7 linked regions of the Callithrix jacchus genome follow. The protein of the gene in region 5 purifies or fractionates together with the protein of the main gene of each other region. This does not show direct contact. Links are inferred from orthologs where the notes say so. Each region holds a gene or a part of one and is shown on either strand. Other genes may lie near its edges.

Region 1 (3,686 bases), on a different chromosome or scaffold from region 5:
CCGTTACCATGCCCAGCTAATTTTTGTACATCTAGTAGAAATGGGGTTTTGCTGTGTTGGTCAGGCTGGTCTCGAACCCCTGACCGCAGGTGATCCTGCCCGCTTCAACCTTGCAAAATGCCGGGATTACAGGCATGAACCACCAGGCCCAGCCAACCATGATTTTCTTATTTACAAAGTACAGTTCAAACCTGTGACCAAAAAAAGTGTTGTGAGGAAGTACTCTCTTTAAAAGCAGTTTTCCGTCTATGAATTTCCTAAAAAATAGTGCATTGCAAATCACCTACCATTTAAAATAAAAACATGTCAGAAATTTGGAGGGAAAAAGAGTGTTACTGTTCCTATGGCATATTTTTCCTTTATCTAAATCACAGAATTTTTTTCTACAGCAGAAACGTAATTCATGATCTCTAGATCGTACAGGTTTAGAAATTGATTGTCAGCATTTTCTCTCTTTTTTTGTTTTTTGAAGCATAACGGCCTTGTATCATGGAGTTTGTTACAGTGGGATCTTAATCATGATAATGGTGGCACACATGGTGATTTTGATTGATATATATAATCAGTATTTCCTAGGATTATAGTTATCATATATTATATAAGGAGATAAGACTAAGAAGCCTCTGAAGAAAATCTGCCATTTAGTTGTTTTTGAATCCTCTTGAAACAGTCTCAGAACAAAGTTTGTGACCAAGAGTAACTTATTTCTAAGTTAGGAATAAGAAACCTTTGGTTATCCCAGCTTTATAATCAATCACAATATTAACTTAGATAAGTTATTTATTTTCTGTGAGCTTCACCTCCCTCATGAGATCATTAAGAATCTCTCTTTTAAATTAGAAAATAAATAATATCATTGAGCTGTTTCTAGGTCCTTTTTTCCTCATTTTAATGAAATAATTTGGGTTATATCATTACATATAAGTATACCAATGGGGCCTTATTGACAAGTTTGAGGGTCAAACAACAAAATAAATTCCATATATTAAGTATATTGTTGTTCCCTTTTAGGAGATTGTAAGAACAACGTTCTTGTACCAGGAACCATTCAAGTAAATGGCCATGGAGGACAGCCATCAAAACTTGTGAAGAGGGGACCTGGAAGGAAACCTAAAGTAGAAGTTAATACCACTAGTGGTGAAATTATACACAAGAAAAGGGGTAGAAAGCCCAAAAAACTACAATATGCAAAGCCAGAAAATTTAGAGCAAAACAATGTGCATCCCATCAGAGATGAAGTAGTTCCTTCTTCAACATGCAATTTTCTTCCTGAAACTAATAATGTAAAAGAAGATTTGTTACAGAAAAAGAATCGTGGAGGTAGAAAACCGAAAAGGAAGATGAAGACACAAACACTAGATTCAGATCTCCTAGTCCCTGCAAGTGTCAAGGTACTAAGGAGAAGTAACCGAAAAAAGACAGATGATCCTATAGATGAGGAAGAAGAGTTTGAAGAACTCAAAGCCTCTGAACCCCACATGAGAACTAGAAACCAAGGTCGAAGGACAGCTTTCTATAATGAAGATGACTCTGAAGAGGAGCAAAGGCAGCTGTTGTTCGAAGACACCTCTTTAACTTTTGGAACTTCTAGTAGAGGACGTGTCCGAAAGTTGACTGAAAAAGCAAAAGCTAATTTAATTGGTTGGTAACTTGTACCAAAATATTTTACTTCAAAATCTATAAAGCAGGTACAGTTAAGGAATAAGTAGAAAGAAGGCTTCTGCTTCCTTGCTGCTATGGTGGAGTAGGGAATGTTATCATTTAATTTGCAAAAAAAAAAATAAACAAAAGCAAAACAAAAAAAAACTTACAAGACACTTCACTTCTTTAAATGAATATATATATATAAATATATACATATATATTTTAAATGTTTGCTATTTATTGCCCTTAGATAGGTTATGCATTTTCACATTCATTTCATTCACTGTTTGAAACAAAAGAAATTGATCTATAATGATTTCCCTGATTTATTTATAGAAAAGACAGTTCTGCTACACTCTTTAGGAGCATAATATTCCTAGTGATAGAGCATTTCATGTTAAAATGAATCATTTTTGACCAAGCAAGGTACATTTCTATTGATACAAGTCATGCCTCTAAAAACAGATGTTATACAGAGTAGCAGTGAATTAAGAAATGTTTCCTCTAAAACATAAATACAAAATTTCCACCATTTGCTACCCTTAAAAGTTTAATTTTAATTATAGAATGTTCATCTGCAAAGTATCTAAAGGAGGCTTTTGCTTTATTCCATTTCTGCCAAACTTAAGAGAAAATGTACTGATGAAGGGAAACATATCCACATTGGAAAACGTTTGACTGTCTAATTTTTCAGACCTTGATTCTTATATCACTCAATCTCTGTTTATTGTGCCAAAGACTGAGAATCAGTGCAGTGGAAAGCCTGTTTTTGACTGTCAGGACAGCATACACTTTTCGATATTGGAAAGGCTATATATTCTAAAGAGCAAGTTATTAAAGAGTTGTGCTGAGATATATCTTTTTTTGGTACTAATAGAAAATAATGCACTGGTGGGTCCTTTGACAGAGATGTTATAGAGGAAATGTTTAAGTGGTTAAAGGATTCAAGGAAAATACAGGAAAAAAGGTATGGGATTTGATGTTTACTTGTTGATCTGGATTAATGTCATTTCTAAACTGTAGACATATCTAATAGGCTAAAATGACTTAACAAAGAAACATGTCTGTGTGTGTATGTGTATATATTGATAAATGGGTATAATTAAATATATATACAAACACATATACTATTACCCAGGTATAAATTCTTTTTTCAGGATTTTTTAGATAGCAGTAGAATAAAAATAATTTTAAAATGTCATACTTTATAGTTTGATTTTAAGGGAGAAATTGGTTATTTTCAATTATTAAAGGTTAAAATAGGCCAAATCACTTTTTATGCAATCATGTTTTATACAGTGGTCTCATTGCACATTGTGTTTTTTCTGCACTTTTTACGGTATCCTTATCATGCTGGTATGTCAATATACACCCTAAAGAAAAACTCCATTTAATGATTGTGCCTTGTATTCTATTATTTTTTGCATCATTAGTAAAATTAAGTTGTCTATTGTAAATGATAACTATATGACTTAGGAGAATGTATTGCTATATGTACTGCTATGGAAAAGGAAAGCAGTTATTTATTTGTTTATGGTACAGTTAGTTATTTTATACCTTAAAAACCAACATAACTACCATTTCTATTGTTTAAAAATTACTGTCCATTTTTTAAAAAATTTAAAGAATGTAGTATTTTCTGAGGACTGGTATGGTACAAAAATGTAACCAAAATTTTCAGATACTACATTTTTAAGAAGTGAGGATGGGGAAAATATGTATCAGCATGACTCTGATGTGGAAAAATAAAGTCTGCAATTGAACCTTGGCAAAATACATTATATAATATTTCTTTAATTATTTCTGATAAGGATAAATATTAGCTGTCATTTAACTGTCTTGAAGAATGCAAAGTGATACATTTGGGCTTTCTAGATCATTTGTAACTCAATTTGTACAGAAATTCTCCTGTGAAATTAAGTAAACCATCTTCCAGATCTTGACTGCATTGCTGTGATTTTGCAGTTAAAAAATAATTTCAAAATTTTCAGATTTTTTGTATATTTATTTTTCTCTAACAAATATATTTAACTATAAAATTA
Region 2 (3,686 bases), on a different chromosome or scaffold from region 5:
CACCGCACCCAGCACCATCCAGTTGTTACTAAGCATGCAAATCCACAACCTGCAGAAGTCCAGGCTGAAAAGGCAGTTTATGGCAATTCATTTCCAATCAAACCCACAGACCTACCAAATGAAATCAATCTAAAATAAAGAAAAGTTGTTATATACAATGCCACCTGAATATAGGTGATCAGTGCTTACCTCTCCACAGTATTCTGAGATGAATTCATTTTTCTGCACAGGATCTTTGATAAAAATTCCCCAGCCTGCCACATCAGATGGTGCAAGCAATAAATGCTAGAGAAGAAAACACAATCATATAATCAAAGAAGAGGGTAAAGATGGACTAGGGACAAATTAGACTACAGAATAAAAACAAGGCTATTGCTGTCAATCTTCAGACCTGTTCTAAGGCAGTAATGGACACATACCTTCAGTCAGTGTGAAAGCTGCTGAGAATGGCTGGCTAAGTATGAAAATTATGTTTTTCTTACAGAGCAGAGAAGTATCACTGTCTTACAGAAAAAACTTTTGGTGCTGTTGGTTGTTTGCATTACTGCTGCACTTTGGCTGCCTGGTCTCCTCAGCCCTTGATTTTCTTAAGTAATTTACTTTCATCCTGAATTTAATATAAGGGCACCTCCAAATCACCTTCCTCTTCATAACTTTCCCTCTACTTCCGTCAAGTGACATCTATTACCAGTTCTAGATGCCCCCAAGGACACCCCGATTCTTCACTGGCATTTGTTCCCTCTGAAGCCCACAGCAGCTTTCTTTTAAATTTGTTCTTCCACCCTACTTCCTCAGGAAAATCTACCAAGAGGTGGCATCATGATCTTGTCAGTCCAGTAGTCTATTTTCAGCAGAAAGGCCAAGATGATCACTGCAGTAAATTATAGAGTTAGGGATGTGTTCCCAAACACATGCCAATTTTTCAACATGGCTCATTATTATGCTTTCATTCAAAATTTTCTTATGACCTTTACAAAGGCTTCCTGATCACTCAAGCTTCCAATCTATTCCTATTCTGGAACATCCTACCACTCACCTGTGAGGTGAACTTCCCAAATACTCTTCTGTGCAGAAACTAAATTATAGCTAAATATTGCTATGCAAATGAAACCTAATTGGTAAAAAAGTATCTACATAGTTTAACATTTTTAAGAGCTAAAAAATGTCTTACAAAGAGGACATGTCAGTATCAATAGTATTACCCTCTTTCTGAACAAACTGAGGAAGCAGTGCAATGGCAAGTTGTTTGGGGGAGAAATGGAGATTTTTAGGTCTGAATGGGTATTGCCATCAGAAACTGAACCAGCATCACCATGACCCAATGACCTAAATGGATATATAACTGCCTAGAGTAAAATGATTTAAATGCCTAAGAGAAAAAAATCACAGCTAAAAACAAAAACAAAAAACCTGCCACCCTGTACAGCTATCTGCCATAAACACAGACTTTGGTTTAAAGACACAAGGGAACAAAACAAAGAGAAGTTCAGTGTTTTGCCTGGAGCAGAACTGCTGGTTGAAGGGGACTTGTTGGTAAAAAGTGTGATCTCAATCATAAATAAATGGTCCAACAATCAAAGATATGTCTACTCCACACCCCCCAACACACACACACACACACACACACACACACACACACACACGCAGCATAAGAGCAGGTTAATGGGAGTGAGTGCCTGGGGGATTTGATCTCCTGCTCCTTTACAAATCTTGTGACTTTGGGTTTGCTGTACCGGTAAAATGGGGTTAACATTTATTCCTCACTCACAGAGTTATCAAGATCAATGAACAAATCCACTAAAGCACTTAGAACAGTGCCTGCTATTTTTACATGCTTAATAAATGTCAGTTATTATTATAAGAAGAACTGACTGAAGAGAAAAACCTATCATCTACCCTAAAAAAAAAAAAAAAAGACAAATTTCCCAAATACATGTTGTTGCAGTTTCTTTTGCTCAATAATTACTTCCTGACTGATACAGTTAAAATTACCTACATACAATTCCCAGAATTCAAATATATAATTCCTGGCTGGGTTTTTTCCAAGGTTATTAAACAGGAACTAAGTAAATAAAAACCTGCCGTGGGAAATTTCATCTTTTACCCTACATAGTAAGGAACCTATAAATACTATCTGATGAGAATGACTCTGTGTTTTGATAGAAATCACCATTTATTTGCATTAAGGATACTAGATAAAGAGAAATTCAAATCTCTATTAAACAGCTCCTATTTCAAATCTGATACCATGAATGGCTACTTCTCAGAATTTGCTGGTTTCTCCCACCAACACAGTACGGTGTTCTCTAGAATGAAGAGACTGCCCCAGAGTGCATTACCCAGAGAAAATTATCAACGCTTTCTCTCTTATCAGTTGTACCTTTCAAGGATCACTTTTACTTTTTGCCCCAGTGAAATCATCTAAGACAATCCTGAGATTAGCATCACTAAAAACAACCTTCCAGAAGCAACTTGTTGCTCACCTTTTTGGAGCCCCGCTGAATACTGCAGTTCTTACAAGACACATTTTTACTGTCCCAATGGTCAGCAGCTCCACAAGTAAGACAGAGGTCAGGGTCGCACTCTCGGACAGCCAGATAGCATGGGCACTGCTTGGTGTTGCACTGTGCTTTGCAGCGGCATCCCGGAAAGCGGTTTTGACCTTCAGAGAGAGGTGTGGAGGTTCTTCACTCATCATCAACACCATGACTATCACAATCATCACCATATGCAAGAACTTGCAGAAAGATATGTGGCAAGGGCTGTACTGAGCATCTGACTGACTCAACCCTCACAACCGCCTTATTACTCTACTGTATAGACAAGGAAATGGAAGTATTAACAGCGAAGTTAAAGCTGTTTGTACTGAAAAAGACCACCATTGAGTTGTTCTTCCATTTTTCATTTGTTAAATAATGTATATATTTAAAGTAAGTGTGAATAAAGGGTTTGGATGAAACAATATCCATGGTCCTTGACCATTCTAATAGCTCCTGGTTCTAAACACTCCCTTAGTATTCAAGCTTAATGTGCAGTTTCATTAAACAATTATTATAATCCCCTACATTTGTGCTACATTCCTTTATTCTGAAGACTAAAACCTTCCTAAACTCTGACAACTTCTGGTGCCCAAAAATTATGTGGGTAGCTCCTTCTAGATTTCTCTTACAATCTGTGCCGACTTTAATATGACTTAATTTAAATGATCAAAGAAGAAAAAAATAAAATTCGGATTCCTTTAATACAACTTTGCCTGCCTCACACACATAGACACACAACACCCAGGCAACTGACTGGTCACTGGCAGGGGCCAGGTATGGGGCTCAATCAATACCTGTAGAATCGATGAATTTCCTAAAGTAAACAAGGGAGTGCTCCTGTGTTCTCACTTTTTGATTTTTTAAATTGCTGACCAAAGGCCTATTTAGTTCTCATGCAATTGCATCAAAGCAACAAATACTTACACTCTGAACTACATTGACAAAACTTTTCACAAAAATTTTGTGCTATCACACAAGGGCACGAACTGTCACAAGGCTGCCGTGGATGATCACAGGGTTGATAGTTGTAAACATGGTTAGAGGAGCCGTCTGAATAAAGATAACATCATGCAGGCCAATGAATCCAGGGAGATGGGAAACGATCATACACAATTAACAAGAGTACATTCTTCCCTACTACCTGTG
Region 3 (4,173 bases), on a different chromosome or scaffold from region 5:
CTTCACCAAGCCCCATACTCACTGAGATATCACTCGAGACTGTTCTCCAAGGGAGAAGCTTCCCCGGTGGCAGAGGCCCCGTTCTCTCTAAATGGAAGGGATTAGGGAATATTGCTAGCAGAAACAGAGGGCCACTTCAGCCGTATCAAGCCCCCTCCACCAAGGATATTGCTCTTGTTATAGAAATAGACACAACACACCATGGTCTGTCCCATAGAACTCTGATGGAAGCTAGTTAACTCTCCAGCACTAGCCCTTGAGACTTCCTTGAAAAGTTTACTTTCTTTTTCTCTGGGGCTGGCAGAGCTTCTGGCTGCTTTGGTAGTCCTGCTGCCAGGCTGGGAGGTGGAGAGGCCTACCTGGTGCAACATTCGAGGGAAGCTGTGTTCCTGGGCTGCCCGCCTAAGCCCCAGCTGCCCTGTGGCCAATTCCACTTGTGTCTTGATCTCATTGCATTCCAGCTCCCGGGTGTCAGGGGTGGCATCCACTGTGAGTACCAAGAAGTTTCATCCTAGGTCTTTCAGCCTCAGAGGATAGTTAGCAGAACTGTACCCAAGCCCACCCCTGTGGCTGAATATACCGGGGTTATAAGGACTTCCTTATTCCCTAAATTATTGCACCTTCTTTTAATGTAATCTATTATTCAAAGTATCACTAATAGGTTTTCTAGTAAAAGTCTTCCAACATTAGGGCCTTTTCCTCTTACCAGGTGGGTTGTATCGGTCCCCAAGACGACCATCCCAAGCTCTGTCATTCTCTTCCTCTGAGTCCAAGAGGGCCTGAATGAATTGTAAATTTGCTGCACCTCCTCCCTGCACCAACCTCACTTGGCCTCTGTGGAGAGACCCCCAGTATAAAGGAGGGGACTTCTTCCCCCAAACCAACAAATTCAGAGTCAATGGCTATCTAGCTCTTAGACCACTTGGTACTCATTTTGAGGTTTCAGGCTGACTAGACCTTGGCTATTATTTTCAGTTTCCTATAAAACACAGTAAGAAAGTGAGTCTTACTTTTAGAACAAGAGCAAAAGCAACACGCTGTGGACATTACCTACTAAGTTGACCTCCCAACGAGCTAAACATTCTCACAGTGTTTCCTTCTGAGCCTCTGCCTGAGAAGTCCACCACAGAACACAATATTCTAAGCTGGGAGCAGTGGCGTGTGCAACTGTAGTCTTAGCTACCTGGGAGGCAAGGAATGCTTGAGCCCAGGATGTGGTGTGCACTGTGATCACACCTGTGAATAGCCTGCTCTCCAGACTGGGGAACACAGTGAGATCCTGTCTATGTCTACTGAAAACAAAACAAAACACAAACAAACAAAAAAGACTACAATATTCAGAAGGGACCCCCATGCTCATCTTCTCCCCAAATAGCCATAAGGAAAGAAACAAAGCTAGCTGCACTCTTCCAGTCAATTCCAGGTGGTCGCTCCCTTCAAGGTACTCTTTCCTCAAGAACAGGTCAGGGCAATTTAAACTTGTTTTTCAAGTAATCAAAGTGGCCTCACATCACGCGTCAATGCCTTACTAAAAAGTTCAACACTCCCTTCCCATCTCTTCACCCCTTACATCACTCCTTTCCCTCCAGGCCCCATTTTGTTTTAAACTTACTTGGAAAATAGATTATATTTGTTTAGTCACAGCGAGAGAGGCTCCCTTGAATAGTCCCTCAAACACATGAGCAGGTCCTCTTGGTGACCCTCCTTAGGTAAGACCCACTCTTACTGGATATGGAGCTGTGTGCCATGGGTGCCCAATAGGGAAAGGCTGTTCTGCTCAAACAGAACGGCTGTTCTGGGCAAATCCCATTTCCTAACCTCTGTAATTTTCCTGCCTGGAGTTGGGATCAAGGGACCGTGGTAGCACCTGGTGAGGTCACACCAGAGGGTAAGTTACCTGCGGAGGAGATAGGCCAGTACCTGGGCCAGATCCACATCTTCATCCTCTTCTTCCTCTTCCTCACTCCGACGAAGGCCAGCCCCTCTTCGGGACAAACCCTCGGAGGGGTCTCCGGACCCGGATCCCGCACTGCTGCTGTTCCGTGATCCCATCTTTTGGTCACAGCATTCTTAGGTTCTGTGCGGGGGCTCCTCCTGTCACCTCCTTGGGTTTGGTGAAAGCAAAGCGTGCTCTAGAAATACCAGGGTCTCCTGAGATGGGGTAGCTATCTCCAGGAGGGTGACCCTTCCTCGGGGCTGAGATCCCTTTTCTTTAGCCTATGCCAACTACCAAGGCGTCGGGAACACAAACCTTCTCCAATCCTGTGAAGCAAAGAAAGAGAGAGTGAAGCGAAGGGCGTCACCCTACCTCACCAATTTGAGAAAGATTTCTCAGTTTTCTACACCAAACTCACCTATTAAAGTCCCAGGACTGGGGAGCGGAAGGGTTGTTGGGCGGTGTTGGATTCCCAGGTAACCTCTCTGACAGACCAATCGAAGCCCCTCGAGAAAGAATGAGCACCACTAGCTTATCTCATCTAACCAATTAGAAGCCTTAAGACTTAAAGACCCTCGACGCCCCCTCTTACCGACCAATCAGAGCGCTTCCTTAGGAAAGCCGGCAGCAGTGACAGCCAATGAAAATAAAATTTGGCCTACCCCCCCTTCTTCCTTGCCTCACGCCCACGTGGTGCGCCGGGGGTGTGTAAGCCAAGAGGGGTAGGAAGCCGAGAAGCACCTCCCACTGAAGCCGGCAGTTACCGCCCCCCGGGAGACCACCCACCAGCCAGGAGCGGTCGCAGGACCCGCAGTGGCGCGAGGCCTTGTTTACACCAACTGCCGCCGCTGCGTTGGCCAACCGCTCCTCCGTCACGAGCCTACCTCGTCACACATCTCGCGGCTTCCTGGCCGGCGGGCTGCAAACGTCACACGACGGTCCCGCCCCCTTGGCCAGCCAACTGGACAGCGGAGCGCCGTGATTGATAGATAGGCGAGAGAATGCGCCAGGGGCCTGAGGGGAGGAGAAAGTGCGCACCGGAGGCGGGCCTTTCGCCCTTGTTGGGGAGGAGTAAGTGGGAACTGGCAGCTTCTTGGATCAGAGACAGCCGAACTAGACGTAATAGCTGAAAGGCAGGGGTTAAAAAAATTGGTGGTTCACTACCGAGAGATATTTTAGCAAGGGATACAACTTACTGTCTGTCCCTAAAAATCATTTGGGCACTTTTCAGACAGTGCCCAAGGCCTCCCCTCCTTTCTCCCCACTTTTTCCTCCGTCCAGCTAGAGCCGTTCTCCTGTCGTCGGCTGCAGCTCCAGTCCTGTCCTCAGGGGTGCTCGGCGTCCCAGTAGGCTTCCACACCTTCCTTCCTGGCTTAGCTTTTGGAAGCCTTGTTCTTGGGACTGCCCCATTTTAGACCTCCCTTTAACCGCTCCGGCAACTTTTTAGACAATCCCTGGCTTTCCGCTGCGGTCTTTGCAGACGCTCCCTAGTATTCGCGTTGTTCTCTCACAGCTTTTCCGGTTCCGGCAGTCCCCTTAGACGCTTCCTTGGCCCTCCGCGAGTTGCAGACCTTCCCTAGACCCTGTGTCCTTGCGGTGCCTCTCCGCCCCCGGCCGCGGGTCCAGGGTGCTCGCGCTGCCTCCTGTCCCCACCCGCCGGTGGTTGAGTAACAAGCCTGAGTCCAAGGCCGGGAATTGCCACATCTGTGATCCTCGGCCACGCTGGGTGGGGAGGCATGTGGGTTGAACGACCTTGTTGTCCCGCGCTCAGAGGCTCAGGATCCGAGCTGAACTTCAGTCCCCGCAGCCTGCACTCCCTTGGGAAAGCTGCGAGCGTCCCTCCGCCCGCTCCTGAGGGCATCGATGGGCTCTTTGCCTTCTTGGTCCCTTCTGGGGCCTCTCTCAGTGAGGGCGAGGGTTTGGCCAGCTTTCGAGCGACGTCTCCTGGTCTCCAGACCCCGAGACCTGAGCCTGTCACCAGGACTAGCCTTGATGGACTCTGCATCCGTATGCTTGGAAGCATCTATAATGCTTGGTTTAATGTTCTACTGTTAACGGTCTTGAAATTCTTAATAATTTTAAAGCAAGTGCCGGGCATTTTCATCTTGCGCTTGGCCCCACTGATTATGTAGGCGGGCGCCCATCACGTATTGCCGGATAACTCACTTTCCGTGCCTTAAGGTTTATTGAGACTTTAGGATACCGTGGTTTCTGGGTTATCCAGCCTGGAAAATCGG
Region 4 (4,200 bases), on a different chromosome or scaffold from region 5:
TACCACCTCCACCTCCCAAGTAGGTAAAACTACAGATGTGTGCCACCACAGTCAGCAAATTTGTTCCTATTTTTTTTAGAAATGGAGTCTCACTATGTTGCTCAGACTGGTCTTCAACTCCTGATCTCAAGTGACCCTCCCATCTTGGCTCCCAGAGTGCTGAGATTACAGGTGTAAGCCACCACACCCAGCCCATGGCTGTAGTTAAAGCCCTTCAAAGTGTGCCTCCCTCCTAACTCCTCGAGCTTGCTTTGTTGCACCCCACCCGCTTCACAGTCCAAACTCCCATGCCTGGCACAACTTAAACCTTCCTTCCCAGACACCAGGCCTGTGCTCAAGCTTGCTCTCTTTTTTTGTAATGCTCTTATATATTCCTGTAAAAATCCTACCAACTCTACAAGCAAAGATTTCTAAAATCCAATGCAAAAAACACTAACCATAATAGAAAACATGGAACTTTTGCACTATGTTAAAATTAAGAATTTCTGGCAAGTACGGTGGCTCACACCTGTAATCCCAGCGCTGTGGGAGGCCAAGGTGGGCGTATCACGAGGTCAGAAGTTTGAGACCAGCCTGGCCAACATAGTGAAACCCTGTCTCTACCAAAAATATAAAAATTAGCCAGGCGTGGTGGTAGGAGCCTGTAGTCCCAACTACTTGGGAGGTTGAGGCAAGAGAATCACTTAAATTCGGGAGGTAGATATTGCAGTGAGCCTAGATTGTGCCACTGCACTCCAGCCTAGGCCACAGAGCAAGACTCCATCTCAAAAACAGAATTTCTGCTTGTCAGATGCAGTGGAGTATGCCCATAGTCCTACTTGGGAGGCTGAGGCAGGAGGATCACTTGATCCCAAGAGTTCAAGGTTGTAGTGGTACCTGTGAATAGCCGCTGCATTCCAGCCTTAGCAACGCAGCAGAGACCCCATTCCTTGAAATAATAATAATTTGTTTCAGAAGACACCAGTAAGAGAATGAAAAGACAAGCCACACCTTGGAAAAGACATCTGCAAAGCATATATCAAAGAACTCCATATCCAGACTGTAAAGAACTACATATCAGCAAGAAGACAGCCCAATTTTTAAAAGTCAGAAAAAGAGCGGGCACTTCACAAAAGAGGACATTCAACTAGCCAAGAAGCACATTGAAAGGTGCTCAACAGGAAAAACGTAAATAGATACCTTAATGAGATACCACATTCAGCTAGAATGGCTAAAATTAAGAAGACTGACAGCAAACATCCAGTGTTGACAAGGATAAGAGGCACCTAGAACTCTCATATTTCTGGTGAAGGTGTAAATTGGTACAATCATTTTGAAAGACTAGCAATGTCTACTATCACAGATCATGTGCAAACCCTCCCTACACACCAGCAATTCCTATCCTGGAAGTGTGTGCAAGTGTTTACAAAAAGATACATGTAAGAATGCTCACTACAGCTTTGCTAATAATAGTCCAAAAAAATCACAACCCAAATGCCCACCAACAGTGGGAAAGATAAATTATGATATATGCATACAACAGAATACTATTCAGCAGTTAAAAGGCTACACACAACAAGGATGAATTTCACAAAAATACTGACAAGGTTAAAAAGCCAGACACATACTGTACATACTCTATGATTACATTTAACTGGAATTCAACAACAGGCAAAACTGATCTATGGTGATACAGTCAAAAGAGTGATTATCTCAATATGTAAGAATGTAATACTGATTGGGAAGGAGCACTAGGCATGCTAGAAATGTTCTTTATCTTGATTTGGGCAGCAGGGACAGGGGTGTATACCTATGTGAAAACTGTTCCCTTACTGTATGTACGTTACACCTCATTAACAAAAACTTTTTTAACATGAAAAAAAAATTCAAGCTCAAATGTCACCTTCTCATTAAACTTTTGCCAGCTGTAATGAATCTTTTTATCAGGGCCTCCTTAGCATTCTGATGTCATTTCTTTATGCCATTTTACCACACTCCATCTTGAATCTCAGTGGAGTCTCCTTATTTCTCTAAATAGATGTTTTGTTTATCTTCCTGGTGGCAGTGACCATGTCCTTCACCTTTTACCCACTCAGGGCCTAACAAATAATAGGCTGAAAACATGTTTGTTGAATTACATGGAAGAAAAAATTGGGTGAGTTCCCAGATGGGTGAAAGCGAGGACAGGCAGAGGAAGGAAGGCCAAGAGAAGGACATAGGAGGTCTCCAAGGAAACCGTGGCTCACACTGCAATTTTACCTACTTCCTGAAATCACGTTAAATGTCACTTTGAGTGGCAAAGAACAAAACACCAAGTCATACCTAGGCTGAAAATATACAAATATCACACTCCCTTACTTACAAGAAATCACCAAATAAATGCTACCTAATCTCTGGGTGTTTCAACACTGGATGGGAAAACCGTTCAAGGAGAATAAGAATTCACATTGCCATCCTGCTAAAAATATCACCTCCTTAGTGTGGTGCAGAGTCCGGACTGCAAGTCAGCAGACTTAGGGCCGAATTCTAACTCCGCCCGAACTTGCTGTGATCTGCGACCAATCCCTTCGCCTCTCTGGGCCTCAGTTTCCTCATACATAAAAACAGGGTGTAGATTAGCAAAGTCCCTTTCTGTATTGATATCGTGTGTACAACCCATAGCTCTCACGATCCAAAGCAGGAATACAGCAAAAACCCCTGAAAAACACGTAAAAGACGCCTCAGACCAACAAACAAGCACGACTTGAAGAAGTCATTTTGTTATCTTTCACAGTTCAATCAGTGTTTTTGTTTGTTGTTTGGTGCCTTACCATGATTTGCAGAAGATGTCTGAGTTCCATGTAAACAGAAGGTGACTCTCTGCGGGTGTCATCTTCTTCGGAGGGTGAGAAGGGTCTTCCCGCCTGGTTTCAAGTCTCAGGATTCCGAAACCACCAACTCAGCTGGCGGGTTTATGAATTTGCGCACACTGCGCGGCACACTGGAGCCTTAAGTTACAGAGGAACTGAGTGCAGGGGATGTTGGGATTTGTAGTCCCCAGGCCTCTTTGTAGTGCGCTGGGATCTGTGGTCCCTGAGTGCACCGCTGGCATGCTGGGAAATGTAGTCTGTCGCATCTCACAGTGCAACTAGCTGCCGTCTCACAGTGCAACTAGCTGCCGGTTAGTGTGCTCAGCGGCTAGAGCAGGTCCCTAAAGCCTCTGCATATCCGAAGGCAACCCTCCGCTGGGACAAACTCTAGGCAACAACACCAGATGAATATTATGTCCTTTGGGACTTCCCGGGGTGGGCCCTTCCCATTGACGTTCACAGTCCCCCTGCGAAGCCGCTGCGCGCTCCTATTGGCTGATTGGGTTGCCAATTGCCAAGGCGGGCTTTCCATTGGTTCCAGGAGGGCACTCGAGGCTTGGGGGAAGGAGAAGGGATCAGGAGCGGGAGCTGAGGGGAGAAAGAGGCCGGTCCGGGTTTGGCCGCTGCTGCTGCTCTCCCGAGGTCTCCAGGCCGGACTGCGGCTCCATCCTCGGCTCCTGGGCACCGTCTACGAGGCTCCGCCAACCAGAGTGAGAAAGCCGCGGGCGGCGACTGCCGCATCATGTCAACCAAGGACGAGCGAGCCAGGGAGATCCTGAGGGGCTTCAAACTGTATCCGCCCGGGAGCTGGGCGGGGCCGGGAGGACTTGGGAGATTGCCGCTCCCTGAGGAGACTGGCAGGGGGCGGGGGCCGCGCCAGGTGGGCCCCACCGAAGAAGGGCCGCGGGAGGGGAAAGGAAAGGAACAGCTTGCCCGGCCCCGGGAGGGACCGGGCGCGAGAGGCGGCCCCAGGGGCGTCCGGAGGAAGGACTGGGACGTTGACGGGAGCCCCGGGAGGTGGCGGGTGGGGACGGTGGAGCCTGGGGGACGGGGCTGCTAGAGGCGCCGGGCTTCGGAAACGCTGTCAGAGAGGCCGGCTGGATTCCGATCCCCGGCCGGGACCCAGAGGCCGGGAGGGAGCTGCGGCCCGCAGGGAAGGGCTGAGGGGGCGCGGTGGGCTGATCTCTCAAACTAGAAGCCCTCTGGCGGGAAGCCCACCTGGGGAGCGCGGAACGGTGACTTGGAGCGGGCGACCTTGTGTGGGACAATTACCAGTGCTTTTTAAAACTCTCTTAGGTCCCCCACCGCACCGCACCCCACCCCCGTCTGGTTTCCACAACTTCTTTTCCAAACCTGTGGCTTCTTCCAGGGC
Region 5 (3,686 bases):
TCCTGCCTCAGCCATTCAAATAGCTGATACTACAGGCACATATCAACCACTGTTTCTTTATTGGTATTGGTGGATCCCTTTCTTCTTTCTAGTTCCTGTATCTTTCAGATAAGAAAATTGGCACCTCCAGGAAGTTTACTGTGATTAATAAGGATTATGTCCATCCTCAGAAATGCAGCCACATGCTATCAAACTTTTAAAAGAGCAACATCTTTAAAAAATTCCCTACTAGTTTGCCACTACCATTTAAAAAGTAATCTCTTAATTTACAAATTGCCAATTACCTTTCTGAAGAATTGCTGTTAAGTGTTCACCTAAGAGTTGTTTTTCTACAGTAGCAATTAATGACTTCCTGCAAGGAAAAAAAAAAAGTTTAGTATTATTGACGTTTGAATTCCAGAAAATGTAAAGCCTCTCCTGAGGAAAAAAAAAATCAAATAGCTCATTTTGTGTTAATTTCAAGATTCCTATCCTATGTATACATTTATTGGCACTTAGAGTTACTATACTTTATACCTAAAAGAAGAAAACACAAAGGAATTGATGGGAAAAATTCTTTTAAATGCCTCTTTTAGAATTCGATTTACATCATGAAATAAATATCTCCATGATCTTGCTGTAGCTGGCTTTTTCCAAGTTTTGCTACTTTTATCAGGAAGGTAAAGATATACTATTTACAGAAGCCCCTCGATTGACAATACTTAGGAGAGCACAGAAATAGGAGAATCCACTGAATTTTAACTGGCCTGAAGAGTTTAATGTTCATATCAATCTCTAATATTATTTCTAAATTACATTCTAAACACACACACACACACACCCCCCTAATAATTGAATCCTTGATGAAAACTAACTAGGGAAAGAATAACTTGAAGCTTGCATTATGAAAACAACTGTTAACATTTCAAATCACAACTGAAAACAGTTAATTGTTAGGATGCCTAAAGTGCTACAAGTCATTTAACAACAGCTTAAGACAATTACATTAAGCATGTAATACTTACTGGGTGGTCTGATCTAAGTAAGTAATAAGTCTGTCTGCTTCTTCTTCTAGACGTTTGTTAACGTGATGAAGATATTCAGGAACCTACAAAGATAGTTTTTTATATTATTGTTTTCCTCCCCATAAATCACTCAGAAAATGTCAAGTCCAAAAGATCCTGGGAGCAGCCCTGTCAAATGTGACAGGGTAGAATCATATGTAAAATTATAGGTAGAGTTTATGATCCAGAATTCTGGCCTTTAAGAAGAGAGAAAAGAAAGGAGCACCTAAGTGAGAGAAGAGCATCACAATGTTGGGAAGATAAATGCAAAGGGAAGTTTATATTCTACAAAGTAAGGTCTACTGTGAGAGACAGTGAATTTATTAGTCATGATTTTTAAATACCTCTCTTTCTTGCATTAATTTTTGGCCTTCAGCTGCATAGAGCCGGTTAGTTTCTTCCAAAAATCGTTGTTCAAAAGAATCTTGATAAATCTGGGAGGGAGAACAAAATGAAGGATATGATTTACTTAGTAAATATTTACTAAATGTCCTATATGTCTATGTAAACAGCATTATGGATTTGGTTTTTAAACATCAAACTAGGATCCTTTTGTAGTTTAGAAGCATGCTGATTGGGGTTTTATGCTCATGTATGAGATGTGCTTCCTTCAAACCTTGTTATGACATCAGCACATTACCTGTCTTATGTGGGGGGAAAAAAACTAGGAATAGCAATCAACTCTGTAAAATATGTGTAGTGGTTAACTTACTTGCAAATCAGACAGCATGCTTAAAAGGCTTCGGAGTAAACTTCTATCAATTGCTTCACCATTCCTTTCCCTCTCAATCAAGAGAAGGATGCCATCAATTGTCTTATTCTGGACTTTCTGATCACTTATAATATGAGCCCTAAATAACTCCAGTCCCATGTCCCTAAAATAAAAAACACATATAATCTAAATTACTTGACAATACCACTTCTGAAGAGGTTTGCTTAACTTCTTACCACATGTTGCCATGTTAATTATAGTCCCAGGCTTTGAAGCAGCAATTGTAAAAGAATAAAATCCACATATTTAATTTTGAATAACATTATTAGATTAAAGCATACAGGAAACTCATTTTGTCTTTAATGAGAACTGAAGCTAAATTCCTATTTTCCTCCATAACTAAGTTTTGTTGTATTATTTCTTTTTATGGATTTCTTTCTTGCTCAAATAAAGAGACAAAATTAGTTCAAAGACATAAAACAATTTTCACTGTACTGGCATTGAAAGCTTATTTGGTTATTTATCAATTTGTTTCAATACTCAAGAAGCAGGGAATTCTGTCATTGCTGTAAGCAGATGATAGGTACATGATAGGGGGAAGAGTTCATGATACCATTCTATTTTCATGTATACATGGACTTTTCCATAATGTTAAATGAGTGAACTCTTGATGATCAGCAGCAAACTGAATCACAATCATAGACATTCCAGAGCAAATTTTAGTCCCCTTAACAAAAAAAGTCTTCATAAATTAATATATGCCCAGGGTTATATAGTAATGTTAGCTATCTTCAATATTAGCAAAGACAGATTATTAGGAAGATAAAACTGCTACAAAGGAAAGCCTAGAAGCCAAATGTGAATTTTTAGAATATTCACAGTATTGCTTATACTCTTTCATTAGTGTAATTAAGATCTGAGTATGATTTGGAACAATCTTTTCATGTTTTACCGGCATCCTTACCAAATGGAGGGTAGCATTGAATTCTGAAGAACATAAGTTCTATCCAGAAACAAAAAAATGCTCCTGATCATGATCTGCCAATGGAAAAAAAAAAGAAATCAAACAATTTTTATACGTTGTGAAGTTGAAATATTTGCTTTCAGTAAGAATAAAACTGAAGGGTTCGTCTGTATATATATTAATTACTAGGATCTAATATGCAGATAAACATATCTATCTGAGAATAGGCCCATATCATTTTTATTATTTGACTGTCTTAATCCTTGTTGTGTTTTCTAGAAAGGAAGGCACTTAAAATGACCCTCCCTCTGACTTATTACCTGAGAAGTAATTGAAAAATAACAGGGAATCAAGGGGACACTCATATAATTCTTCCTTAGCCACAGTGCTAGGCAATGAAGTTGCCTTACATTACACATGTGAGGTTTTTAGTTTTCAGTTGGGGGTGGGGGGGATGGATTTTAGGATTTTGATCTGTAGAATATAAGATATAAACTAATACCAGATTAAGGAAAATGGAAAAGGTTGTCATCTGAATAAACTAAAATAAGGACCATCAGGCAACTTAACAGGTAATCAAGTATTGAACAGGAAAACCATCAAGAGAGGAAAAAAAATAAGAGTGACAGACAAAATGTAGCTTTTTAATGAATGAGATAAATACATTTTTGGTGTGACAAAAATAAAAATGAACCTAAGGTGCGAGTCATTCTGAAATGCAAGTTTACCTGTAACCTGTGGTTTTAAAATAGAAAACTCAACCAAAACTAGTTTCCAATATAAAAACGGAACAGATATTGAAGCAATCTCCCTATTGTCAAGTTTTAAAAATTAACATTCCTGCATTTGAAGAAATGTTTTTAACTATTAATACGGTGTTTAGCTGAAATATAATACCTTTTCCAACCTACCATTTGTCTGCAATGATTTTGCCAACATCTATCAATCTTCTTTAGAAAAAGAACAC
Region 6 (4,456 bases), on a different chromosome or scaffold from region 5:
GGTGATAAGGTGCTTTCGGAGGACTTTCAGGCAGGAGAAAGGCATGGTCAAAGCTGTGTTTGTTATTTGTTTTGCAACAAGTTTTTCCATGTATTTGCCCCATCAGGCTGAATTGTCATTAAGAAGACATCTATTTTGCCTGTCTCCATATTATGTTTTTAGTTATGAAAAATTTTCACACAAAATTAGAGAAGAGTATTAAAAAAAATTAACTGTGTGCCCATCATCCAGCTTCCATTATTAGGATTTTGCCACATTCAATTCATCTTCTCTGTCTCTCTCTCTCTCCTTTATCTGTGAAAATAATTCTTTATTGTGGTAAAATATATATAAACGTAAAATTTACCATTTTAACCATTTTTAGGTATATAGTTCAGTGATACCAAGTACATCACATTGTTGTGCATCCATCACCACAATCCATAGCCAGACCTTTTTCATCTTCCCAAACTGAAACTCTACCCATGAAACAAAGTAACTCCCATTGTCCCCTCTCTCCAGCCTCTGACAACTAACTATCAACTTTGTATTTCCGTGGGTTTGAAGGCATTTCATATAAATGGAGTAATATAATATATGGCCTTTTACTTAGCATAATATTTTCTAGGTTAATTTTACATTGTAGCACATATTAGCATTTAGTTACTTTTAGGCCTAAATAATATTCTATTATGTGATATACCATACTTTATTCACTCATCAGTTGCTGGGGATTTGCATTATTTACACTTTTGTCTATTATTAATCATTATGCTATGAACATTCATGTGCAAGTTTTTGTGTAAACATAAGCTTTCAATTTTCTTGACTACATCCTAGAAGTGGAATTTATTTCCTTCTTTCCTTTCTTTCTTCCTTCTTTTTCTTTCTTTCTTTCCTTCCTTCCTTCCTTCCATTTCTTCCTTGCTTTCCTTTCTTTCTTTCCTTTCTCTTTTCTCTCTTCTTTTTCTTCCTTTCTCTTCTCTCTTCTCTTTTCTCTTCTAAGATGGGATGGGGTCTCTGTTACTCAGGCTGGTCTCGAACTCCTGGGCTCAGGTGAACATCCCGCCCAGCCCTTCTACAGTGCTGGGATTACAGGCATGAGCCACCACGCCCCCAGCTGGAATTGTCATGTTATCTGGTAACTTTATGTTTAACTTTTTAAGAAGCTGCCAAACTGTTTTTCAAACAGTTTTCAAAGTGGCTATACCATTTTAGAATTCTACCACAAGATGAGTCTTCCAAAATTTCTATATCCACAATAACACTGGTTATTATCTGTCTTTTTGATTACAGCCATCCTATTGGAGATGATGTCTCATTGTGATTTAATTTGAATTTCCCAGATGACTAATGATACTATCTTTTTATATGCTTATTGACTGCTCATATATCTTCTCTGAATAAATGTCTGTTTGAATCTTTGGCCCATCTTTAAATTGGGTCATCTGTCTTTTTATTATTGAGTTGTAAAGGTATTTATATATTCTAGATACTTGTCCCTTATCAGACATATAATTTTTAAATATTTTCTTCCATTCAGTGAGTTATCAGTTCTAATTTTGATGAAGTCGATTTTTTTCAATTTTTTTCCTGAATGTTTGTGCTTTTGGTGGTATAGTGTCTTAGAAACCACTGTCAAATCCAAGGTCACAAAGATTTGCCTCTATATTTTCTTCTAAGAGTTTTATAATTTTAGTTCTGACATTGAAGTCTTTTATTCATTTAATTTTTGTATATAGTTTAAGATGGGGTCCAACTTCATTCTTCTGCATGTGTATATCCAGTTGTGCCAACACCATTTGTTGAAATTATTCTTCTTTCCCCATTGAATTGTCTTGGCATCCTTGCCAAAAATTAGCTGATCATAAGCATGAAGGGTTTTTAAAAATTTTTTTTATTATACTTTTAAGTTCTGAGGTACATGTGCAGAACCTGCAGGTTTATTACTAGGTATGCACGTGCCATGGTGATTTGCTGCATCCATGCTCACGTCATCTATATTAGGTATTTATTCTAATGTTATCTCTCCCCAATCCCCCCACCCTGTTATCCCTCCCCTACCCCCCTCACCCCTACAACAGGCGCCAGTGTGTGATGGTCCCCTCCCTGTGTCCATGTGTTCTCATTGTTCAACACCCGCTTATGAGTGAGAACATGCAGTGTTTGGTTTTCTGTTCTTGTGTCAGTTTGCTGAGAATGATGGTTTCCAGCTTCATCTATGTCTCTGCAAAGGACAGGAACTCATCCTTTTTTTTTTTTTTTTTTTTTTCCTTTTAGTTGCATTTATTTTAAGGCTGAATTTGCTCCCGTGCCATAAGTTTTTGCTTCTTCAGTTTCTTCTGGGATATCTTCTTCTTCTGGGCAACCTCCTCTTCTGGTTTAGGAACAATCTGTTCCTTTTCAGTAAGGATCATCTCAATGTGGCAGGGAGAACTCATGTATGGGTTAATTCGACCATGAGCTCTGTAGGTCCGGCGGCGCATCTTGGGTGCTTTGTTCACTTGGATATGCTCAATGACCAGAGAATCTACATCTAAACACTTAAGTTCAGCATTACTCTCTGCATTTTTAAGCATGTGCAGCAAAAATTCAGCACTCTTTTTGGGCCACCGACCTTGTGTCCAGCCCCACTGCTTGGCCTGGGCACACCTGCCAACTCCACCATTGTAACGTCGGAATGGTACGCACTGTTTCTGTAAAGTGACATCTTTCAGATACTTCATGGCTTTTCGTATATGCATACCCTTGATGGCCTGGGCAGTTTCACATGTGTTCTTAAAGTGAACGCGAAGATTGGAACCTCTTGATTTGCATGACTTTGTGGGGTTCTCCCGATCAAGTGAATAGCGAACCATTTTCACAGATTACCTCAGGCCGCTTGGGGAAAGAGCAGGAACTCATCCTTTTTTATGGCTGCATAGTATTCCATGGTATATATAGGCCACATTTTCTTTATCCATTCTATCATTGATGGGCATTTGGGTTGGTTCCAAGTCTTTGCTATTGTAAACAGTGCCAAAATAAACGTGTGCATGTGTCTTTATAATAGAATGATTTATAATCCTTTGGGTATATACCCAGTAATGAGATTGCTGGGTCAAATGGTATTTCTATTTCTAGATCCTTGAAGAATTGCCACAGTCTTCTGCAATGGTTCTAATTTACACTTCCACCAACAGTGTAAAAGTGTTCCTGTTTCTCCACATCCTCTCCAGCATCTATTGTCTCCTGATTTTTTAATGATCGACATTCTAACTGGCGTGAGGTTACCATCTCGATGTGGTTTGATTTGCATTTCTCTAATGACCAGCCATGATGAGCTTTTTTTCATGTTTGTTGGCTGCATAAATGTCTTCATTTGAAAAGTGTCTGTGCATCAAGGGTTTTTTAAAAATATTTTTTCCCATCTCTCAACTTTTAGCTGAAGATAATGGTTTATTTCTGTGTCTTAATTCTATTCCATTAATCTTTGTCTATCCTTAGGCCTATACAGCATTGTCCTGATTACTATAGCCTTGTAGTAAGTTTTGCAATCAGACATTTAAGTTCTTTTGTTCTCACAAAAGAACTTTGTTCTTCAAGATTGTTTTGGCTATTCTGAGTCTCTTGAATTTCCTTACAGACTTTAGGAGCAATTTGTCATTTTTTACAATGAAGTCAGTTGGGATTTTAAGAAAAATTGGGGCTGGGCGCGGTGGCTCTCGCCTATAATCCCAGCACTTCGGGAGGCCGAGGCAGGTGGATAACGAGGTCAAGAGATCGAGACCATCCTGGTCAACAAGGTGAAATCCCATCTCTACTAAAAATACAAAAATTAGCTGGGCATGGTGGTGCGCACCTGTAGTCCCAGCTACTCGGGAGGCTGAGGCAGGAGAATTGCTTGAACTCAGAAGGCGGAGGTTGTGGTGAGCTGAGATCTTGCCATTGCACTCCAGCCTGGGTAACAACAGCGAAAATCCATCTCAAAAAAAAAAAATTGGATTGAATCTGTATTTCAATTTTGGCAATAGTGTTATCTTAGCGATTTTTTTTAATTACTATTTTTTGTAGAGATGTGGTCTCACTTTGTTGCCCAGGGTGGTCAGGAACTCCTGGGCTCAAGCAGTGCTCCTGCCATGACCTCCCATTAACAATATAAAATCATCTGAACCATGAAAATGGGTGGGGTGCCATTTCAATTCTTTAGGCAGGCGGATTACAAGGTAAAGATATTGAGATCATTCTGGCCAACATGGTGAAACCCCGTCTCTACTAAAAAATACAAAAATTATCTGGGTGTGGTGGCATGCGCCTGTAGTCCCAGCTACTCAGGAGGCTGAGGCAGGAGAATTGCTTGAACCCAGGAGGCAGAGATTGCAGTGAGCTGAGGTTGCACCACTTTACTCCAGCCTGGGGCCTGGTGACAGAGCAAAAGTCTGTCTCAAAAAAAAAAAAAAATTATTTCAACAATGTTTTGTAGTTTTCAGAATTTAAG
Region 7 (4,254 bases), on a different chromosome or scaffold from region 5:
AGGCTGATGTGAAGCAAGGGGAAAGGATGATCAGGGTACTGACTGCAAGCTCCCCACATCCCAGAGAACCAGAGGCGCAGTTCCCCAGATCCCCCAGGGCAGGGACTACGGCTCCTAGAAACCTCTGTGGGAAGGACACCACAGCCTGTCAAACCAGCATTGTAACTGGGATGGCTCTCCACAGGATGGGGGTGGGGGAGCTGAGGTGGGAGGACAGAGCTCCAAGATGCCTGGGAGTCAAGGCTGTAATTCCCACCAGCCCATGGCAGTGTTTTCAGGCTCCTGATCTCTGTAACCCTCTAAACACTGGAAGGCCACAGGTTCAGTCGTTGGATCTCTTTGCCTCTGTGTTTGTTCACTATGATACCCAGTCTAGCCACAAGGTTTCCAGTTACCCACTAGCCCTGAACTCAACCTCTTGGGCTCAAGTGCTCTTCCCACCTCAGCCTCCCAAGTAGGCGGAATTATGGGCGAGCACCATCACATCCAGCTTTTCACAGTTTTTTGTAGCCAGGTGTGGTGGCTTACGCTGGTAATCCCAGCACTTTGGGAGGCTAAGGTGGGCAGATCACCTGAGGTCGGGAGTTCAAGACCAGAGCCGACATGGAGAAACGCTGTCTTTACTAAAAACACAAAATTAGCCAGGTGTGGTGCTGTGCACCTGTAATCCCAGCTACTTGGGAGGCTGAGGCAGGAGAATCACTTAAACCCGGGAGGTGGAGGTTGCGGTGAGTTGAAATCGTGCACTGTACTCCAGCCTGGGCAACAAGAAAAACTCTGTCTCAAAAAAAAAAAAAAACATAATTTTTGTAGAGATGGGGTCTCACTTTGTTGCCCAGGTTGGTCTGGAACTCCTGGTCTCAAGCAATCCTTCTGCATGGGCTTCCCAAAGTGCTGGGATTACAGGCATGAGTGCTCAGCCTTGACCATTCAAACTTTTTTTTTTTTTGAGATAGAGTCTCGCTCTGTCACCTAGACTGGTGTGCAGTGGCGCGTTCTTGGCTCACTGCAACCTCTGCCTCCCAGGTTCAAGCAATTCTCCTGCCTCAGGCTCTGGAACAGCTGGGATTACAGGTGCATGCCACCATGCCCGGCTAATTTTTTGTACTTTTTGTAGAGACTCGGTTTCACCATGTTGGCTAGGCTGGTCTCGAATTCCTGATCTCAGGTGATCCGCCCACCTGAGCTTCACAAAGTGCTGGGATTATAGATGTGAGCCACCACACCCAGCTGGACTTTTTTTTTTTTTTTTTTGCCAATCAGTTTGAGCTTATGAGGTGGCTCAGGTTAGCCTTGGACTGATGACCTCGCCTTCGCGAGCGCCATGAGCTCCGGCGGGAGCCACTTTGGACCCCCCAGCTGGACTTTTCTAAAAACTGAAGGAGGTTGGGTGTGGTGGCTCATGCTTGTAATCCCATCGCTTTGGGAGGCCGAGGCAGGCTAATCACTTGAGCTCAGGAGTTTAAGACCAGCCTAGCCAACATGGCAAAAACCTTGTCTCTATTAAAAATATAAAAAATTAGCTGGGTGTGGTGGCAGGCACCTATAGTCCCAGCTACTTGGGAGGCTGAGGCAGGAGAATGACTTGAACCCTGGAGGAGAAGGTTGCAGTGAGCCAAGATCGCACCACTGCATTCCAGCCTGGGCAACAGAGCGAGACTACATTTCAAAAAAAAAAATGAAAGACACAAGGAGCTGTTGGGAGAGTTATGGACATAGGGAATGGGTCTGGTGTGTTTCAGAGAATGCAGAGCAGGCTCCTGGGACCATGTCTGCTCCTGGGACCATGCTTACCCGAACTCGGTTGATGCCACCATAGTGGGGCACCATGGCCAGCTCCAGCTGAGGCTTCTGCTCTTCTTCATCCTCTTCATCTTCCTCCTCCTCTTCATCACTGCTGTCTGAGGGTGGGGGCTTAGTTCCATGCAGATTGTGCATCCGAAGGATCATCAGTCTGGTAGAAAGTGGGGGGTGAGTTAGGCACTAGATTTCAGGATTCTTAGGAAGGAGACAGGCTGGAAACCCAGACTCCTGGGTCTGGGACAGGCAGCAACTGGAAGCCCTAACTCTTGGGTCCTAAGGAAGGGGCTGGAAACTGAGCCTCCTGGTCCTGGAAAAGCCTCGGGTCTTACCTGTTGCTCTGGGCGCTCTCGGCCTGGGTCCCAGCACACAGGTAAAGTGTAAGAGGAAGCTCTGTCCGGCTGTCTCCCAGGTGATCCCGGACTATGTCAAAGCTGAGACAGGGAGCGCCTGGGGATGGAAGGAGGGTTTTACGAGTTAAGACTGGACAGTGAGATCTCAGTCCCCACCTCCCTCATGGATCAACCGCCTCTGATGTGAAATCACCTTAGAGTCCAGCCTTCTCTTCCCGAGCACCTCTCAGGTTAAAGGCTTGAGATCTGGGCGAGAGCAGTGGCTCACGCCTTGTAATCCCAGCACTTTGGGATGCCGAGGCGGTCGGATCATGAGGTCAGGAAATCGAGACCATCCTAGCTAACACGGTGAAACCCCGTCTCTACTAAATACAAAAAACTAGCCGGGCGTGGTGGCATGCGCCTGTAGTCCCAGCAACTCGGGAGGCTGAGGCAGTAGAATCACTTGAACCCGGAAGGCGAAGGTTGCAGTGAGCCAAGATCGAGCCACTGTACTCCAGCCTGTGCAGCAAAGAGACTCCATCTCAAAAAAAAAAAAAAAAAAAAAAAAAAAAAGGCTCGGGATCAACCACCTCAAGACCCTGGAGTGTGGACTCTCAGCCCTACCAGTCTGCGCTCGGTGGTATAGCACATAGGCCTCCTCGTCCATGACCAGCTCCTCCCCTTCGCGTAGCGGCGGCCCCCGGCCGGGCAGGTAGACCTGGGCCGGGCCCTCGGAACTTGTGTGGCGGGACTCGGCCTCCATGGGTTCCCTGGTTTCACACATGCGCCGCCGACCCTTGCGCGCCGCCATCTTCGAACCCTCTTATCGCCGACGCCCGGTTAGAGCGTCACTTCCGGGTTTTGCTTTCCTTCTAATGAGATCCGCCGTACTGCGAGGTTACCTTGGAAACCTCCGCGACCGCTAATTAGAGAGGGTAGTGCGTAAAGGCGGGAGAACTCAGGAAATGGCGCCCCCGGGAGAAGACTGAGGATACGCAGAAATTGCATCTTCGCGTGACTTTGGGTGCTGTTCCTCGCGGTAGTGGCAAGGGCCTCTGGGAGTTGTAGTTCTAAGGGAGGCCTGTTATGCCTATATTTCACTTTGATTCCCAGAGCATTCCTTCTACTTAATTATTCATATATGCAAATTTGTTTTCTCACTGGCAAAGAGACTGGGTTTCTGCTCCCTGAGGACCCATAAGGCCGGTTTCTTCTCTCCCTGTTATCATGGCTTTAACTTATTTCAAAAATGCCTTCCTGTAGACAGGATGGATATTATCTGTAAGTTAGGCGGTTCAATCTACCCTCTAGGGGCAATCAATTGCCTAACTAGACATTTACATTGAGGCTCTGGTCAGCGAGCACTTAATCAGATAGTCCACCCTCTGGGGGCAGCTATTACAAGTGATTCGACTCTCTTTATCGTCCATCAGCACCAGCGGTTTGGCTAATTGACATAATGAAATGTTAGAAATAGATTCTCATTGGTGAGATTAACAGCATTCAAGATAATGCGGATTGGTTGGGATATGTCAGACAACTCTCCTAGCTTGCATGAACAGGATATTAAGAATCTAGCAAGCCTTGGTGCCTGTAGCCATAGGAAATAAAACCATACCTTTGATCCTAAAATGTTTTGTCTCCGGGATCTAGCTCACCCCTCTCTTGGGGTCTCTATCTGCCCCAGTACCCTCTCGATTTCTCTTTCCAGGGTCTCTTCCCACTGCCTCTTTCTTGGTCTTTGTCTCCCCGCCTCCTTTCAGAGTCTCTTCTCTCTAATAATATCACCTCTTCCCATGGGAATTTTGTGTTTCTGTTTCCCCCAGAGAAGTCGAGGGGGGCTAACAGACACGGAGCTCAGGCTTGGACTGAGGAGGCATAAAAACATGGTTTATTCCAAACACTGCAATGTGGAATAGAAGAGTGGGAAGGGAGGTTGGTGAAGTGTGGACTCCCAGACCCTCCCCTCCGCAACCCAGCCCCAGACCCGGCTGGAGATCTGGGAAGAGGAGGCTTTTTGGAGGTCTGCTGGGTCATCACTGAAGGGTCGCAAATAAGGATTGGATTTGGAGAGGATGTGGTTGGTGGCAAGTGGGGTGGTCTAGAGGTGCGACAGGTT

What was found.
Region 1: the proteins of CUL4B (region 5) and PHIP purify together in Homo sapiens (affinity purification with western blotting; 8 studies listed by BioGRID and IntAct, with this or other methods). This does not show direct contact. The link is inferred for Callithrix jacchus from reciprocal best matches to the Homo sapiens genes CUL4B and PHIP.
Region 2: the proteins of CUL4B (region 5) and EZH2 purify together in Homo sapiens (affinity purification with mass spectrometry; 4 studies listed by BioGRID and IntAct, with this or other methods). This does not show direct contact. The link is inferred for Callithrix jacchus from reciprocal best matches to the Homo sapiens genes CUL4B and EZH2.
Region 3: the proteins of CUL4B (region 5) and DCAF11 purify together in Homo sapiens (affinity purification with mass spectrometry; 9 studies listed by BioGRID and IntAct, counting the BioPlex papers as one, with this or other methods). This does not show direct contact. The link is inferred for Callithrix jacchus from reciprocal best matches to the Homo sapiens genes CUL4B and DCAF11.
Region 4: the proteins of CUL4B (region 5) and COPS7B purify together in Homo sapiens (affinity purification with mass spectrometry; 6 studies listed by BioGRID and IntAct, counting the BioPlex papers as one, with this or other methods). This does not show direct contact. The link is inferred for Callithrix jacchus from reciprocal best matches to the Homo sapiens genes CUL4B and COPS7B.
Region 6: the proteins of CUL4B (region 5) and DCAF10 purify together in Homo sapiens (affinity purification with mass spectrometry; 4 studies listed by BioGRID and IntAct, with this or other methods). This does not show direct contact. The link is inferred for Callithrix jacchus from reciprocal best matches to the Homo sapiens genes CUL4B and DCAF10.
Region 7: the proteins of CUL4B (region 5) and GRWD1 purify together in Homo sapiens (co-immunoprecipitation; 4 studies listed by BioGRID and IntAct, with this or other methods). This does not show direct contact. The link is inferred for Callithrix jacchus from reciprocal best matches to the Homo sapiens genes CUL4B and GRWD1.

What each region holds. Positions count from the first base shown.
Region 1 is NC_133505.1:84,280,510-84,284,195, reverse strand, and holds part of PHIP (PH-interacting protein), read left to right. Parts: intron 1-1,011; coding exon 1,012-1,649; 3' UTR 1,650-3,686.
Region 2 is NC_133512.1:98,905,996-98,909,681, reverse strand, and holds part of EZH2 (histone-lysine N-methyltransferase EZH2), read right to left. Parts: intron 3,591-3,686; coding exon 3,465-3,590; intron 2,663-3,464; coding exon 2,484-2,662; intron 286-2,483; coding exon 190-285; intron 1-189. UniProt on the Homo sapiens protein: Polycomb group (PcG) protein. Catalytic subunit of the PRC2/EED-EZH2 complex, which methylates 'Lys-9' (H3K9me) and 'Lys-27' (H3K27me) of histone H3, leading to transcriptional repression of the affected target gene.
Region 3 is NC_133509.1:58,421,706-58,425,878, reverse strand, and holds the start of DCAF11 (DDB1- and CUL4-associated factor 11), read right to left. Parts: upstream 2,871-4,173; 5' UTR 2,821-2,870; exon of another isoform or gene 2,529-2,820; intron 2,443-2,528; 5' UTR 2,355-2,442; intron 2,263-2,354; 5' UTR 2,053-2,262; coding exon 1,898-2,052; intron 835-1,897; coding exon 707-834; intron 488-706; coding exon 360-487; intron 88-359; coding exon 23-87; intron 1-22. UniProt on the Homo sapiens protein: May function as a substrate receptor for CUL4-DDB1 E3 ubiquitin-protein ligase complex.
Region 4 is NC_133507.1:153,234,616-153,238,815, reverse strand, and holds the start of COPS7B (COP9 signalosome complex subunit 7b), read right to left. Parts: upstream 2,945-4,200; 5' UTR 2,790-2,944; intron 2,677-2,789; exon of another isoform or gene 2,451-2,676; intron 1-2,450. Other genes in the region: PDE6D (retinal rod rhodopsin-sensitive cGMP 3',5'-cyclic phosphodiesterase subunit delta), read left to right, coding at 3,571-3,620. UniProt on the Homo sapiens protein: Component of the COP9 signalosome complex (CSN), a complex involved in various cellular and developmental processes.
Region 5 is NC_133524.1:116,424,062-116,427,747, forward strand, and holds part of CUL4B (cullin-4B), read right to left. Parts: coding exon 3,631-3,686; intron 2,794-3,630; coding exon 2,720-2,793; intron 1,919-2,719; coding exon 1,756-1,918; intron 1,694-1,755; exon of another isoform or gene 1,590-1,693; intron 1,478-1,589; coding exon 1,388-1,477; intron 1,088-1,387; coding exon 1,005-1,087; intron 353-1,004; coding exon 285-352; intron 1-284.
Region 6 is NC_133502.1:144,782,390-144,786,845, reverse strand, and holds the start of DCAF10 (DDB1- and CUL4-associated factor 10), read right to left. Parts: upstream 2,874-4,456; 5' UTR 1-2,873. UniProt on the Homo sapiens protein: May function as a substrate receptor for CUL4-DDB1 E3 ubiquitin-protein ligase complex.
Region 7 is NC_133523.1:42,324,978-42,329,231, reverse strand, and holds the start of GRWD1 (glutamate-rich WD repeat-containing protein 1), read right to left. Parts: upstream 2,970-4,254; 5' UTR 2,947-2,969; coding exon 2,760-2,946; intron 2,251-2,759; coding exon 2,133-2,250; intron 1,955-2,132; coding exon 1,795-1,954; intron 1-1,794. UniProt on the Homo sapiens protein: Histone binding-protein that regulates chromatin dynamics and minichromosome maintenance (MCM) loading at replication origins, possibly by promoting chromatin openness.